Linked DNA regions of Drosophila melanogaster. The protein of the gene in region 3 purifies or fractionates together with the protein of the main gene of each other region. This does not show direct contact. Each region holds a gene or a part of one and is shown on either strand. Other genes may lie near its edges.

Region 1 (4,710 bases), on a different chromosome or scaffold from region 3:
CAAATCGCACTGAAAACTTCGTCTCGTCTCGTCTTGTCAACAAATTGAAGGTAAATCTCTTCAAGTACTTTTTGCTTAACGTTATTTATGATTTTTCTAAAATCCTTATTCAGGCTTTCCTTGGATAATCTTTAATTACACTTACTTGGGTTGAATGTAATATTACAGATGTGAGATGTTCAAAGCCATAGAAAAGAAAATCCCTTTCATGTGCTTATTTGGTTTTTAATTGTAAATCTTATTTATTGCAGAACGTTTTTTACAACATTTTATCTATAAGATTGACGACTAATCTATGCTATGTATGTATGTACATATGGCTTCAAGTGCTTGTTTATAAATGTCTCACATGTTCCTTTTAGTATCATTTCGATTAATGGTTCATGTAGAAAATAAAAAAAAAAACAATACTTAAGTGAATTTTGTTTAATAATTGCTTTCAATCAAATACATACATACACATTTCTAATTGGTCTTGATCGTTTTTGTGGCAACTGTACATATTGTATGGGTACCAAATTTGTTGTTTCTGTTTGATCCAAGTGTTTTGTGAGACAAAAATTAAGTGTAGATTTCTGCACCGCTTTTCTATGTTACTCAGTAGAAAGAGTAGGGAATATTTGTCTTTTGAAGTGGAAAATCTATTTTCGTCATGAGGAAATCATAATAGTCGTACGCATCCCTAAATCGAAAAATTCCATTTCTGTCATATTTAATTTGGCTTGTAGTAAAAAGGCGCCCCAAAATTAGATCCATAATCATATTATACCATTTAATACCCATAAAAATTTAGGGTAGTAAACATAAATTTTGACTACAGATTTTATATTTTCCGTAAATAACGCGCACTATTTTAATTTATAGCATTTCTAGGATAGTATACATATGTATAAACTCCATTTCCGTCAAAAGATTGATGAAACCAGATGAAGCATTCCTCAAAGCGAATGCATACACTGCATACACATCAAAAATGTTTGGGCGTGGGTATATCCTCCAATTGTTTCCCAACAACTCTTATTGGCACTTTTTCTTGTGGTCTTAATTTCTGGGCCGCAATATTCGCATCTTTGCTAATCCCTTTGTTTGTTTTTAGCTTTCCCGATTTCCCCTGTCCTCCTGCTACATTTTCGCTCCTTTCGCCTGCAGTTCTTATTCGTCCCAAGGATAAATTCATGAAAACAAAAAGTGCTCCGCCAAAAACACCAACTCACACACACACACACACACACACGCACCTACATACCTACCAATAATACCAAGGTAATAGCACCCGCAGAAACACACGCACACTTCGACAGTACCACTGGCGGCTAACTGTACTGCATGGACAAACACACAAAAAAGCGAACAAGAAAGTAAGCCGAAACTTACATACCCTTGCAGTAATAATACAAAACACCTGTATACCGAGCAATACTTCATGATTAAGAACCGATGATTATTTTATCACTTTCAGTTAATTTTCTTATTTTTCCTATGACAGCTATGTACATGATGCAATAGCTATAAAACTGAGACTTTTTTTTATGGAAATGGACAGACAAACGGACAGGTGGACCGTTAATTAGACTCTAAATACTGATCATGATATTCCGATATACCGAATTTAATGTGCCATCTGCAAGGGTATATAACCTGAAATAAGAACAGAGAAAAAGTTAAGTTTCTCTTCTGTTCGCTGTCTTCTAATTTCTGTTCGTGCTTTTGTTCTTCCCTTACTGGTTTGTTTTGTTTTGTTTTGTTCTGCGTTTGTTTGTTTGTTTTTCTTTCTTTCTTAATTTTTGGCAACGTCAATTACACGCGAAACTTCTTGCCTGAGTGCTTAACCCTTGGCAGGGCGCGCAGGTAGTGAGCGCTCTCGTATTAACCCTACAGCGCTCACGCACACACGCGTGAAATATGCAGAATATATGGTTGCAAATTAAATATCATATTGCATATTAGCCACCAATTTGCAACGGGATCAGTGTATTCTGGCTAAACGAATTAAGTTAGTTCAGTGGGGAAAACAGCGATCTCCGTGCGGATGGTTCGTTACTTCAGTTTTTGGGGGTTAATGGCTTTTAAACTGCAGACTGCACTTTACGTACATACGTACATATATACCTAAATATATATGTTTATATATACATATGTAATATGTATGTTTTCTTCATTTCTTTGCCTTTCCCTTATTTTCCTGCCTTCGGAAACGCAAATGATGCAGTTTGTTTGATTCATTTGACATTACAATTGCTGCAGCTGCACGTTGTTGTTCTCGTTTTGTTGTTGCTGCTGCTTCTGGCGATGCTGCATTTTGCTTCAGTTTCAGTTTTTCATGTTTTTCCAAGCACAAACCACGCTGCAGTCGCTGCTGTTGTCGTTGTTGTTGTTGTTATCATTGCTGCTTCTGTTGTTTTGCAGGTAAGTCGAAGATGAGTGTTGAACCGGTTCAACGGGTACACACGACTACCATTGAAAGAAGCCACATACGTACATGAAGACAGACACACACACTCTCACACACGGGCAGCACTTACACTCTCCCTCCCGCTCGCTCGCTCTATCTCTCCCACTCGCACTCTATGCACTTATTTTAACTCTTTATCTCTCCACTCTCTTTACCACGCTTTGTGTTGATCCGCTCTCCGCTCCGTTATTTACTCCACGGCGTGACTTTTCCAAATATAATCACCTTTTGGCTTTAGCTGCTTGTGAGGGGGTTGAAGTGGTGTGTGGGTGGGGGGGGCTTGTTGTTGTTTTCGTTTAAGGGGTATCACTTGCAAGTAACCGAAAAAAAAGTGTGAGTAATGCACTCCGGGACAGCCGCAACAGCCGCGTGTTTGGCGGCGTTCGAAAAAAAAAGCAAACACACACACACTAGCCGCCACTCAACTCAAGTGAACTCCACGCGACGCGAGGCGAGTCGAGACGACTTTTCGTGTTTCGTTAACCGCGACTGTCCATTCAATTGGCGGCAACAACTGACTGCTTCGCGCACTCGAGTACGTACATATGTGTATGTGGGTGGGCGATGCGCTCGACGTTTCACTCTAGCAACAACCTACGCGACCGGCGTTTGCAACAACACTGCGACGCACATCTGTTCGAGAGCAGGCCGCTCGAGCCGCATCGAACCGAGTCGCAGCGAACCGAACCGAACTAAGCCGAGCCGTCATGCAACATGTTCGACTGGAACGTCAGCTGAGGGGTTGCAACAGCAACAAAGCACTGAAACAAAACGTGTGTAACGAATTATAAAATCAAATTTACGGCGATTTTTCACTTAATGAATGTATACAAAAACAAAAAAAATTAAAATCAATAATTTTTTTTCAATAAAAAAAAATAATTTTAGTTATCACCATAATCAAATCAAACAAAACCATGGTACGAAAGTCGTGACAATTTTACCCTTAACGATTCTGATGCCAATGAAATGTGTTTTTTTTTTTTTGTCTTATTGTACAGCTAGGATGTTGAGATTAAGCATACATGTTCTATACATAAACATAGACGCAGAGCCAGTTTGTTGACCCATTTTGCCACGCCCACTCTAACGCTCACAAGCCGCCAAAAACTACCCAAGCAATTTTTAAATAGTTTCTTATTTCATTCCCCAATAATATCTACCTAAGAAAAATGTTAAAATTTCGCGTTCGCATTTCCATTAGCCAAGTAACCGATATACTCGACTATAGATTCTCCCTTCTCAAGAACAGAGCTCAGTACAAAATATATACATATGTATTCAAAAAATCAGTTGAACACAAAATAAGAATTTCAGCTCCATCGCGAACGTTAGAAACTGAATGAATTCATCAGCCAGTTGACAGAAGTTTGATTTTAAGACCTCTGATCGTCGAACAAAATGGAAAGGAGCTGCTGCTTGGTAGTGCAATTCATTTTAAAATTTCAGCGGCTAGCATCATTAATTACGTCACCGGCGAAAAAAGAAGGAAAGTGAAGCGTTCTCTGTGCCCCTGAATAACTGCGAAGAATTAAGTACGTCAGTAAGGGGAGAGCATACACGCGCCCATGTGTGGAGCCAGCCAGATACACTGCGAGAAACGAGTGGCAATTCCAATCCAATACATAAATATGTAAGGTTCCCTTTACATAAAATTAAATAGTAAGGTATCATGGGAAACCAGTACACATTGATAATAGCATAAGAGCAATGGCATTATTACTACATTTCAATGAAAGATACTTTAAATTGCTTAATTTTGGAAGTTTTCGATGTTTGTTATTATGCCTTAATATTAATATAGCTTTATTTCCTATTTATTTATAAGAGATACCAGAAAGTGAAGCTAATTTTTTATTAGACCTGAAGATTTAAGAGGCATACGCAGCGCAAGTTAGTTGTCAAGTAATGTTGGCACCTCCACTTTAACGCCCACAAATCGCTCAAATCTGCCACGCCTACACTTCTTGAAAATGTTTTGAAATGTAAAAGTCGACAACTAATTATGGACACCCTAATTTTAAATTTGGTTAATTTGATTTCTAATTAAAAAAATTTAAACAAGCAAAGTAAATCTTTTACAGAAAAAATACTGGTTTTTTTATTTATTTAAAAAACGCATCTTTTGTTATAGGGAAATAGAAGTGTTGGCGAGCAATCGATTTTTTCGCCAATTGATTGTGTAAGTTTTAAAATAAAAGATGTATATTTTTTTGATTTGAAATGCAGAAACTAAATGAAATGCTGCTCGATCATGA
Region 2 (4,675 bases), on a different chromosome or scaffold from region 3:
CGGGGCTAGCTTTCCACATTTGGTGTTTATTTTATTGTACATTTGCTGCCGGCAATTCCGCTGAGCCGTGAACTGTTCGGCGTGTCATCATTCGCCTTGGCTTCAGTTGCTGAACATCATCATCATCATTATCATCAGACCCGGAATCACCAACATTATCACCACCGCCATATCCATATATGAGAGGTAAATTTCCACGGCGGCCCTAGACGCAAGGACAAGGTTGGGTCGGAGTTGGACGGTGTTGATGTCTGTGCACGTTGTTGTGTTCTGGCTGCTGTTATTGTTGTCTTTCGGTTGCTTTTTAACGTGCGCCCTTCGTGTTATTTACTTAACAATTTACTGAATAATTTACACTCCCCCCCTACCTTCCGCCCAGCGGATGGTGAAAGCTATCGTGTTGGGCATATTGGGCCAGGAAGTCAGCGTGCAGTGGAGTTTATAGATGCACAAAAACTTGGGCGCACAAATTGGTTTAGAATTTTTAAAATATTTGAACAGATTTATATAAAAATTTAAAATGAAAACAATTAAAATAAAAACATTTTAAATAAGACCATTTTCCCTCAAACGCACAGTTTAATTTAATTTTACTTTTACTGGAAAGTGGAATAGCTGGGTAGCATTTAGTCTAGCTGAAGCCAGGAAATTTTCCATAAGTTGCCTGTATTTTTTCGTTGCCGCTTCGCTTCCTGTTTGCTCCTTGCTGGCCACCCCCACCGCGCATCCCCCTCCACTTTCCACTGATGGGCGTTGAGTTATGAACCTGACTTTCCTTTTGGGGGTTTCGGTGTGGGGGGCTCAGTGGAAAGTAAAACTTTCACCTGTGCTGTGAGCCCGTGAGCCTGTATTTGTGTGTGTGTGTGTGGCTTGGTGTGGTTGATAGTTGTCCACAGAATCACACACACAGTAAAGTTACATACGCTTGTGTTTACTTAGTCGAGTCTTTGACTGACATTTAATGCGGTTAGCATACGTGTGTGCGTGTTCGCTTCACTGTGTTGATAATGTGCATAATAAGCCCTAATTAATGTTAAATAATGAATTTTCTCATTTGCACGCCGTCAGCGTTGAAAAGGCACTGCCTTCGGCATTTGCTCGATTCCATTTCATTTCGAGACAAACACACGTCTTTCGAAAATACTTGCTTCGAAATACTTGCAGTTTAACCCCCCGATTGCCACAAAAAAGGTTCCAATTTCGAGCAGATGGGGAGGTTAGAAATGGGGGCATGGCGAGTTCCTTTGTTGTGGTTCGTGCACCTTTCCTTTTTTTGAAATTTACCAAAGCCACAGCACAAACATTTCAAATAAATATCAGCAAGTTTTTCTTCAGGGTACTTTGTGTGTTTGGTAATTAAATGACCTTATCAAAGGGGCTTTATCTGGTTCGCAAGCCATTTGACAACCGTAATTTACACGAGCTTAATTGAATGTTGAACAAATTAATGACAAGAGCCGAAGGTTACTTCCCAAAAGGGTTGTATCTGCAAACAAATACTGGCCATTCAATTATTTGGAGCTCCTGTCCAAAGTTGTTGGAACTCTTTTATAAGTCCAAACTCCTGGTGAACTTCATTGCCAATCCCCCAATGAAGCCAATCCTCACAATGCCCAACTTCTCGTGGCCAACTCTTTTAAATCGAACACTTTTGTTTATTTACAAGCATTTAACTGAATTATACAAGCAACTTTGCGCATAACAAATATCGAATTTGGCTCCTTCGACCCCAAAATCGTAATGCGGGTTAAGATGAGGAGGAGTTCGAGCATATAAAAAGTTCAAACTGTCAGAACTTTGACAGCAATATTGTTGAGTTATATGTACAACAAGCGGAATAACTAAAACAGTGCAGAAATTAGAAACAACATACCGAAAATGTCCGAAAAACTTTGCCCTCGTCGAATCCTGCAACTTTTTCGCCTCGATTCTTATTAAGGATGTTGCTTTTGTTGTTTAGCCGATGATGTTGACGGTGGTGGTGCTGTTGTTGTCGCAGGAGAAAATCAATGTCGGCATATTTTATCCTTTTTTCATAGCCAGGCACAAATATACATGAAACATACATATACAAATAAAATACACCACTACACTGACACAGCAAAGGAGTAGGAAATCCAACCGAGAAGCCAGAAAAACAGTTGCCAAACTCAGCGTTTTTTTTTTATATGTATATGGCAGTTGATTAGCCGCCTGATGCTGTGGATTTTTATTATTACTTTGTTTGATTTTTTGCCCAACTTGGTTTTTCCTTGTTCGGTTTTTATGGGCCTTGATTTGATTGCATTTTGTTTGTGGAATATATATATGTATTTTTTGCTGTTTGCGCTGGCACTTTCGCTGACAGCCCTTGAGGCAATTATTTTTTAGACCCGAAATCGCTTACAACGTTTCAATATTTTGTTTGATTTTGTAGTGAATACATGTTGCAGCGAGTGCTCCTCAAGTTTGTTGTTTGTTTTATTTTATCTTTGCCCCCTCTGTTATTTTTCTCTTGTCACTTTTCGAGGTGGGTGGCATGCGCTGAGTGGCATGTCAATCAAAAATCAATCAAAATGTTCGCGTTTTCGCGCTCGTTAGCGTTTACACATGTTGTTGTCGCTGGCTTCTCAAATTGCGGCAAATGGATTTCAGGTTGTTTTCCGAATTTCCCGTCTCGCGTTACCCGGCGCACTCGGAAAATTCTTATGGCGACACGTACTGCTGCCCCCTCCCAAACTCTTGCCTCTTTCCACTTGCCACTGTACACAGACACACACACACACGCACAGAAACAGGGAAACCCAGGCACCAAGGAGCTAACTGCGGGTTTAGTTGAGTTAACTACGGATTAGTTGACCACCTGGTCAGGACCTTTGGCTCTTGGCAGCTCTAATTCCGGCGGAGTGCTCCACGGGCGGGTTTACGGATCCGTCCGGTTCGGAGCGAAAATAACGGAGCGGAACGGACTCGAACGGATCGACTGCGGCGTGTCTGTCGCTCACGGCGTACGCTTTTCAACTGCTGCGCCCGCAACGCTCGACGGATTTCCAGGCAGGCAGACGCCTCCGCCAAGTGGAAACCAAGCGGAGTTCGGCCTCCTCTCTCGGCAGCGTCCTCGTGCCTCGTTTTTCACTCGGCAAACAAACTGTTATACACGCTCTCTCCCGAGAGAGCGAGAGATTGTGTAGAAGAGAAAGAGCCGCAAGGGAAAGTCGCCCACCACTTTCACCGGTCTCTCAGCTACCTTATTTATATTTTCAATGTGATTTATATGCCTATTAAAAACCAAATCAACGGGACTTGTCAATTGCATACTATTAACAATTGATATGACAACTTAAGTAACATAAATACTAAATACAACTTGATAAAAATTTACCTACAATTCAGAAATTCATATAAAATAGATATAACATATAAAATGGAAATATTCGTATTGAACGGAAGCAACCAGAATACAGTAGTTATGAAGAGATTAAAGAAAATGCAATAATAAAATATATTTAAATAAAATATGTTGTTTAAACATATACATGCCTGGGCAACATTTTTAAGTTATAAATCTTTATTATTGTTATTGTTTGTGATCTCCTTGCCCGCTTTCTTGGTGAACACTATTCCGTTCTATTTTATATCCGGCCCTTTTCAGTATAAGAGCAATCATACAAACTGTTCCCAGATAATTTCCCCCTATGGGATGCTCTCCTAGTATCACAGTTGTTATAACAGAGCACTCGTTAAGGGAGTCGGCGCCACTCTGGAAATTCAAAGCGCACAGCCTGAAAAGCCAACCTCAACACTAGCAGCTGACTGACCGAGCGGGTGGAAAAACTTCACCACGGACTCTGGCGTGAAAACTCCCAAGCTGAAGTCCTCAGCCGGCGGGATATGTGGCCGGAATCGGAGGCTTCAGTTGCCAGTGCATTTCCCCACCGCCCACACACAGCCCCGCCCAAATACCCGTGACACCGAGCGAAGCGGGTCCCTGCGGAGGTGCCGAAAATCCATTTTGGCCAGAACCGAAGCCAAGAAGAAGTCTTGGGGTAAAATATAGAAGTGGGCGGTTGGCGAAAGCCAGCAGCGAAAAATATCGATTCGGTTCGATTGTTGTTGCCTGGCTGCCCGAATTGTATATTGCTTTATAAGCAGCTTCTGTCTTCGACAAAATATATATATATATGTATGAAAAAGGAAAAAACAGAAGAAAATCAGCAGACCCTGCCCTGCGGTTGCTTATTTGGCTGCTTTAGTTTCGATGCCATCAAGCGAAGTCCTTTTCGCGATTTCAAAACTGGAAAAAAAATAGAAATAAAACCAGAGATGGGAATTTTTCGTTTTACGCTGTTTTTCTTGTTTGATGCCTCTCCTTCTATCGAAATGAGTAAATAACCAATGAAGCAGATAGAAATGTTTATTGTTATTCTTCGGGGCTTTCTCTGCTTTGCGTGCTCCTCCTTGGTCATTCAAATCAATTCCGTAGGCAGCTTGTAGCTAAGTTTGTATCTCCGATTTCATCTGCATTTTTATTTAAATTTACATTGGCCCGGCATCAAGGAGACAAGATTGTCGTCTTGCCGAGTAAACGAGCCATTGCACATTATGAATGTTGGCTTACAATCTTTGTCCTCCTCCGCGAAAATTCTCCTTTGTCGGGAAGTACAATAATTAAGGCTGCGTTAAGTATACGCACCTT
Region 3 (5,113 bases):
TAGTAAAATTAAGATAATTATTAAAAAATTTTCTTAATTATTTGGAGTATTAAAATTGATAATTAGTAAAATTGGTCCGGGTTTTTAATCAACATATAAACAATAAATAAACAAACTTGTGTAATATTACTTAGCTTCTGTCAGCTAGCAATCGAAGATCACAACCAAAAGGCGAAACGACCGAGTTTTTCTAGCGTTTTCGAGGCGGTTCCGATACGTTTCTTGGTTTAGAGGAGATACTTCATAAAATAGGCCGATCTTTAAGCGGATCGACCCTAAGCACCTTTAGCCATTACGTCACGGGCAGCGGGTGATGTTCGGCGAGCTAGTGGGCCAAAAATAATGGAAAAGAGGTACAAATTGCCCAGGGCAATCGACGGCTTTAATGGTTTCATTGGCCAACCGGCGGCATTGAGTTGGTGGACCCAGCCCCTAATTAACCCTTTCGCAATTGCAGCTAAGCCTTAAAACGGCGGTGGGAAGTTGGGGGAGTGGCCCCTCCACGTGTTATATACATATGTAGCCGCGATAGTTTTAGGTATAAAATGATACCTTTGGTCCCGATACCTTGGGCTCGGAGTTTGATTAATGAGCGGCTTAAGTGAATCTCAAATCGAATCTGAGCCTGCTCGGCCGGCAGACTGATGAAGTCACTAATTTGACTTAAAAACGCATTAAAAACCATTTTCGATAAGAGCTTGGAGCCCCATATTGTGATTTCGGCGAGGGTTTTCCCGTACTTTTCTGTCTAGGTCTCGTCTTTGTGAAAGTTGTGCAAAATTGGAGCCAAGAAACCAAAATTGAACGATGAAGCACCCAAGGCGACGGATAAAATTCCAAAACCGCCTCGGAAGATTTGAGAGTGCAAATCTCTTGCTATTGGCAATCAGCTGTAAACATAAATAATGTTCGAGTTTGCGGAGAGTGGACTAACTGGATACCCAGTGAGTAAATCATGTAACCATACTCATTTTTATCACTAATTATCGAATTTAAATAATTCATTTCATTTTCTGAAAATCTTGAAAATCTTACTAGATATATTTCGGTCTATTTGGCTTATACTTTGAACCATAAAAATAATTTAGGCCTTTGATAGTTTAAAACTATTTTACGGTATACATCTCTTTCAACCTTTTTAAAAATTAAATTTATTTGTTTTTTTCTAATTATGTACACACATATTGCATATTCAATACTTTAAAATAAATTGACAGAGAAATTACTGCTCAGCGCTTTCTTCTTGGTTAAAAAGTATTGTAAATATTTATTAGGAATGAAAAAAAAAAAAATAATTCCCAATATACCTGTGCTGAAATATTACCCATAATTCCAGCTTTGGCAACGCGCAAAATTGATTTAAATGCCTTCGACGAGAGACAAAATCGGAGGTAACTCCTACAATTGTGCGTGGTCTTGGCCATTAAAAGCCTTTTCTTGCCAACATTCAATGTCTGTGCCGGAGGCAGCGCCAAATCAAATCAACGGCAGCAGTCACAAATCTGCGACAGATAAAAGCTGTTAACTGACCTTCATTGGCCATAAAAATCCAAATTCATCGCCCGAACAATGCGCCGTATCTATGGGCCAAAACCGGCGGCAACGACGAACAACAATTGGCGAGCAGAAAAATTAACAATTTAAATAAATTCACTTTATTGCAGTTCGCATATTGGCGACAATGTAAAATAAACAATAAAAGTGGTCAATAAATAAGGCCCACGTCATATCGAATGGCCCGAACCACTGGACTTCCGGTCTTGAATCGGGCCAAAAAAGAAAAAGAAAACCGCACCACATATCACATTATACTATGTGGCCAACGACATGAATCACGGGCCAAAAAGTTCAAAGTTGAGCGGGCTAAATTGAGAGATTAGCCTGGGAGATCAGAGCCGGCTATATCTTTTGCTATATAGCTCTGCTCTGACCCAAGCTCTGCTTTTCTCTGCCTCTTTTCCCGAGTTTGCGGCTCTGGGCCGCTGTTAACTTGGCTAAGACCGCTCAGTTGGCTACGAGCTGCCGCCGTGAGCATTGGCAAACGCGTGAAACGGAAAAGACGAAAACGAAATCGAAATCGAAAACCTAAAGTCCAAAAACCGAAATATCCGCGCTCTTCGGTACGTGTTAAGTTTTTTAATTAGTAGAATTTTCAAGTGAGTGTTCGGTGGCAAAAAAAGAGAAAATATTTCACTGAAATACAAAGAGCATAGCTAAGCTCGACAAAAGTGCACATAGTGATCAAAAACATTTGCCAAATACTGTGAAGCAAAAACCCAAACAAATCTACAAGCCGCACACTAGGTGAGTAATTATTAAATTGAATACTTTAATTCCCGCCATAAGTTAATAAATTTCATTGGTTCGTCATCGCAGCTCTGATTTATTATAACGCTTGATTGTTTTCCTTCTTTTTGTATACACTTGTAACCAAAATGTTAGGAAACCAGCAAACACAAATTAAATCAAAGCGATCACAAAACAAAATCCACAAAAAATGCAGACAACACTTTGGGTAAATACAAACAAAATATAATCAAGTGGGGAGAAAAAACCTTGAAAAGTCGTGCTTAATTTCTTAGCTAAATGCAGGCATAAAATATATGTTTAAAAAATTATAATGAAGCTCAGCTATTTGTCTGCCTCCAATCGAATCCATTGTTTTAGTCCCTAAATTAGCTTCAAATAACCCAACCTCTTTGTGAAGGAAAATAATTCAGAGGCTTTGGAAAAAATGCCCGAAGCAGAAGTCTGTCTCTTTGATAGTTTATTTAATGGATAGAAGTAAGGATAGATATTGTGGAAAGTATACAAGTTTACCAATTAAATAAACTAGAGAGCTTAAAACTTTCCTGTGTCAAACACTCGCGTAATAAAAACTTAATAAGCAATCATTATTATTAAATAGCTTTATAATTAATTAGCAGCATTTCGTTTCATTCAGCTCTTTTTTTTAGCCTGCTAATGCTTCAATTAGATGCCAACAAAATATTTTATCCCCTTAAAAAAGTGCCAATCGGGTGAATAAGTGAGAATGTCTGGGCGAGACAAAGATAAAGATCTGACAATCGATCATTACTCAGGCGGGATATAATTAATTAAATATAGATAGATGATTTTGCGGCCAAATCATTCAAATAAATTGAATGGGGCCCAGCGATTTTGAGCACTCAATTTCGAAAATGATGCCGCAGCCAATGGATTAGCCGCTAAAGCTTGGTCAAAGATCTTTAACAATTTCATTAACTTTTGGCCCGTCGGCCTAATGATGTGCAAATGGCCCAAAACACACCATAAAACACGCTGCCACTAAAGTTGCCAAGGGAAACAATGCCAAAACCCATGTCCAACTTCTTTTGGCTGCTCTGTGATTTATGAGGTGATCGCCTGGCGCAACTTTGGCATCGGGGAAATACCAGCAATACGTGGGTGTAGCCATGTGCAAGACTCCATTAGCAGATCGCAGACACTAAATCTGGCTTCGATGCACAGCAGAAAACATGGTTGGAAACGTGGTTTCAAAATACCTAAGCTATTTTAATCTCAGAGAAATATGTGTTATTATATGTATATATAAAATTGTATAAGCATTTAAAGCCCAGCTCAACTACTAAACAACATTTTGTGTTTCAAACTTCTGTTTGATACTTTAATATGCCGTGAATGTTCATTTATTATAATTGTTTTCTTTATTTTTTCATTTTTAATATTATTAATATAATTATTTCCTGTGTACCTTGACGGACACTTTGTCATTGGCTCTTGTTTGTTGACTGATTTGTTTTGCTTGGCTCGTGCAAAAGAGCCTGTGATCCCGGAAATCCTATCGCAGCTTGTGGCAGGTGTTTTTGTATCGGTATAAATTCCAATTGATTCTTGAATGCTCGCTGTTTTTACAGGCACCCCATGTCTGAGTGTTAAAGGCAATTGTTATTGCTTTTTGTTCTATAAATAATTGTGGTACACATTATATTGAAACTATAGCAAAACTTGACACGAAATCCGGTTTTTACCATTGACTGTGACAGCTTTAGATTTGATCACTTGTTAGCATTGTTACATTATAATAATTAAAATATTTGTATAACATTTTTTGTTAATTTTTAGCTCACTTTCGTTAGTTATGTCAGCTGTTAATTAACATTTAATTACGGGATTTTTAATTTTCCCAGATTTTAAAAGTTGATTTCATACGGGAAACATGTTGGGAATTTTTCTTTGAGCTTCTTGTTCATATAAAAGCATTGCTAACTATCGAAATCTAGTCAAAGTTATCTCATAGTTTCCGCAATAAAAACTGCTTGTATTATTATATATATATTCTCTCCAACAGTTGGTAATATATCACTTTAAATATGCAAAATATCTTGCATTGATCTAAACTTAAATTGTCTATAAAACATCCGATTTAAATACCGGCATATTGAAATTCCGTTTTAGAGTCCTAATAAATCATTAGAGTTTATAAGTATTGTCATTAGCTGACAGCTCGGGTCGCCAATTGAGAACGCCCCCACAATGCATGGGGCGTGTCCAGTCCATTATCTTCGCGGCGTATACTTAATCTGCGTATACTTAATCTTGTTGTCTGGAGCTTGTTCGTCACTTTCACTTTTGGCAATTTATTTTCGCTATTTACGGGAGTTGTTCGAGTTGTTTGGCTGTTGTTTGCTCAAGAGGCTGTCGGTGGTGTAGTTCGTGTTTGTGTTATTGTTTTAGTTGTTGATTGTTTAACTTAACAATAAGCCCAAGTGAACTGTGGGCAACAAATAAGCACTTTGAAGCATTTCCGCTGCGGAAAAACCATCACTTATTGTCTGTTTCGTGTCCCAATGGAAATGGTGCGAGAAATGGTCGTGTATTTGCCATTTTTTTGCGACTAATATTTGACCAAATAACTCATGGCAGTTTCTCTTTCGCTTCAGGTTTCCGAATTCACGTTGAAGACACTGGCTGAATCGCAATCGAGTCAAATGCAAATGCAAATCGACGGCGAATGAATTGACAATGACAAAAAGTATTAAACGTCCGCCCCCCTTTAGTTGTAAACAAGTTCTTCTTACCTATGTGGTGAGTATTCCTTCTCCCAGTACTCCTTATTATACTTCAAAAT

Evidence for each region.
Region 1: the proteins of spz5 (region 3) and kek5 purify together in Drosophila melanogaster (affinity purification with western blotting, with the first as the bait; one study listed by BioGRID). This does not show direct contact.
Region 2: the proteins of spz5 (region 3) and kek2 purify together in Drosophila melanogaster (affinity purification with western blotting, with the first as the bait; one study listed by BioGRID). This does not show direct contact.

Annotation. Positions count from the first base shown.
Region 1 is NC_004354.4:19,351,551-19,356,260, reverse strand, and holds the start of kek5 (kekkon 5), read right to left. Parts: upstream 3,081-4,710; 5' UTR 2,608-3,080; intron 1-2,607.
Region 2 is NT_033779.5:11,580,301-11,584,975, reverse strand, and holds the start of kek2 (kekkon 2), read right to left. Parts: upstream 3,040-4,675; 5' UTR 1,874-3,039; intron 1-1,873.
Region 3 is NT_037436.4:2,889,058-2,894,170, reverse strand, and holds the start of spz5 (spatzle 5), read left to right. Parts: upstream 1-2,004; 5' UTR 2,005-2,304; intron 2,305-4,925; 5' UTR 4,926-5,007; coding exon 5,008-5,070; intron 5,071-5,113. UniProt on the Drosophila melanogaster protein: Neurotrophin which may function as a ligand for the Toll-related receptors Toll-6 and Toll-7. Binds to Toll-7 and Toll-6, and probably acts as their ligands in the promotion of motor axon targeting and neuronal survival in the central nervous system (CNS).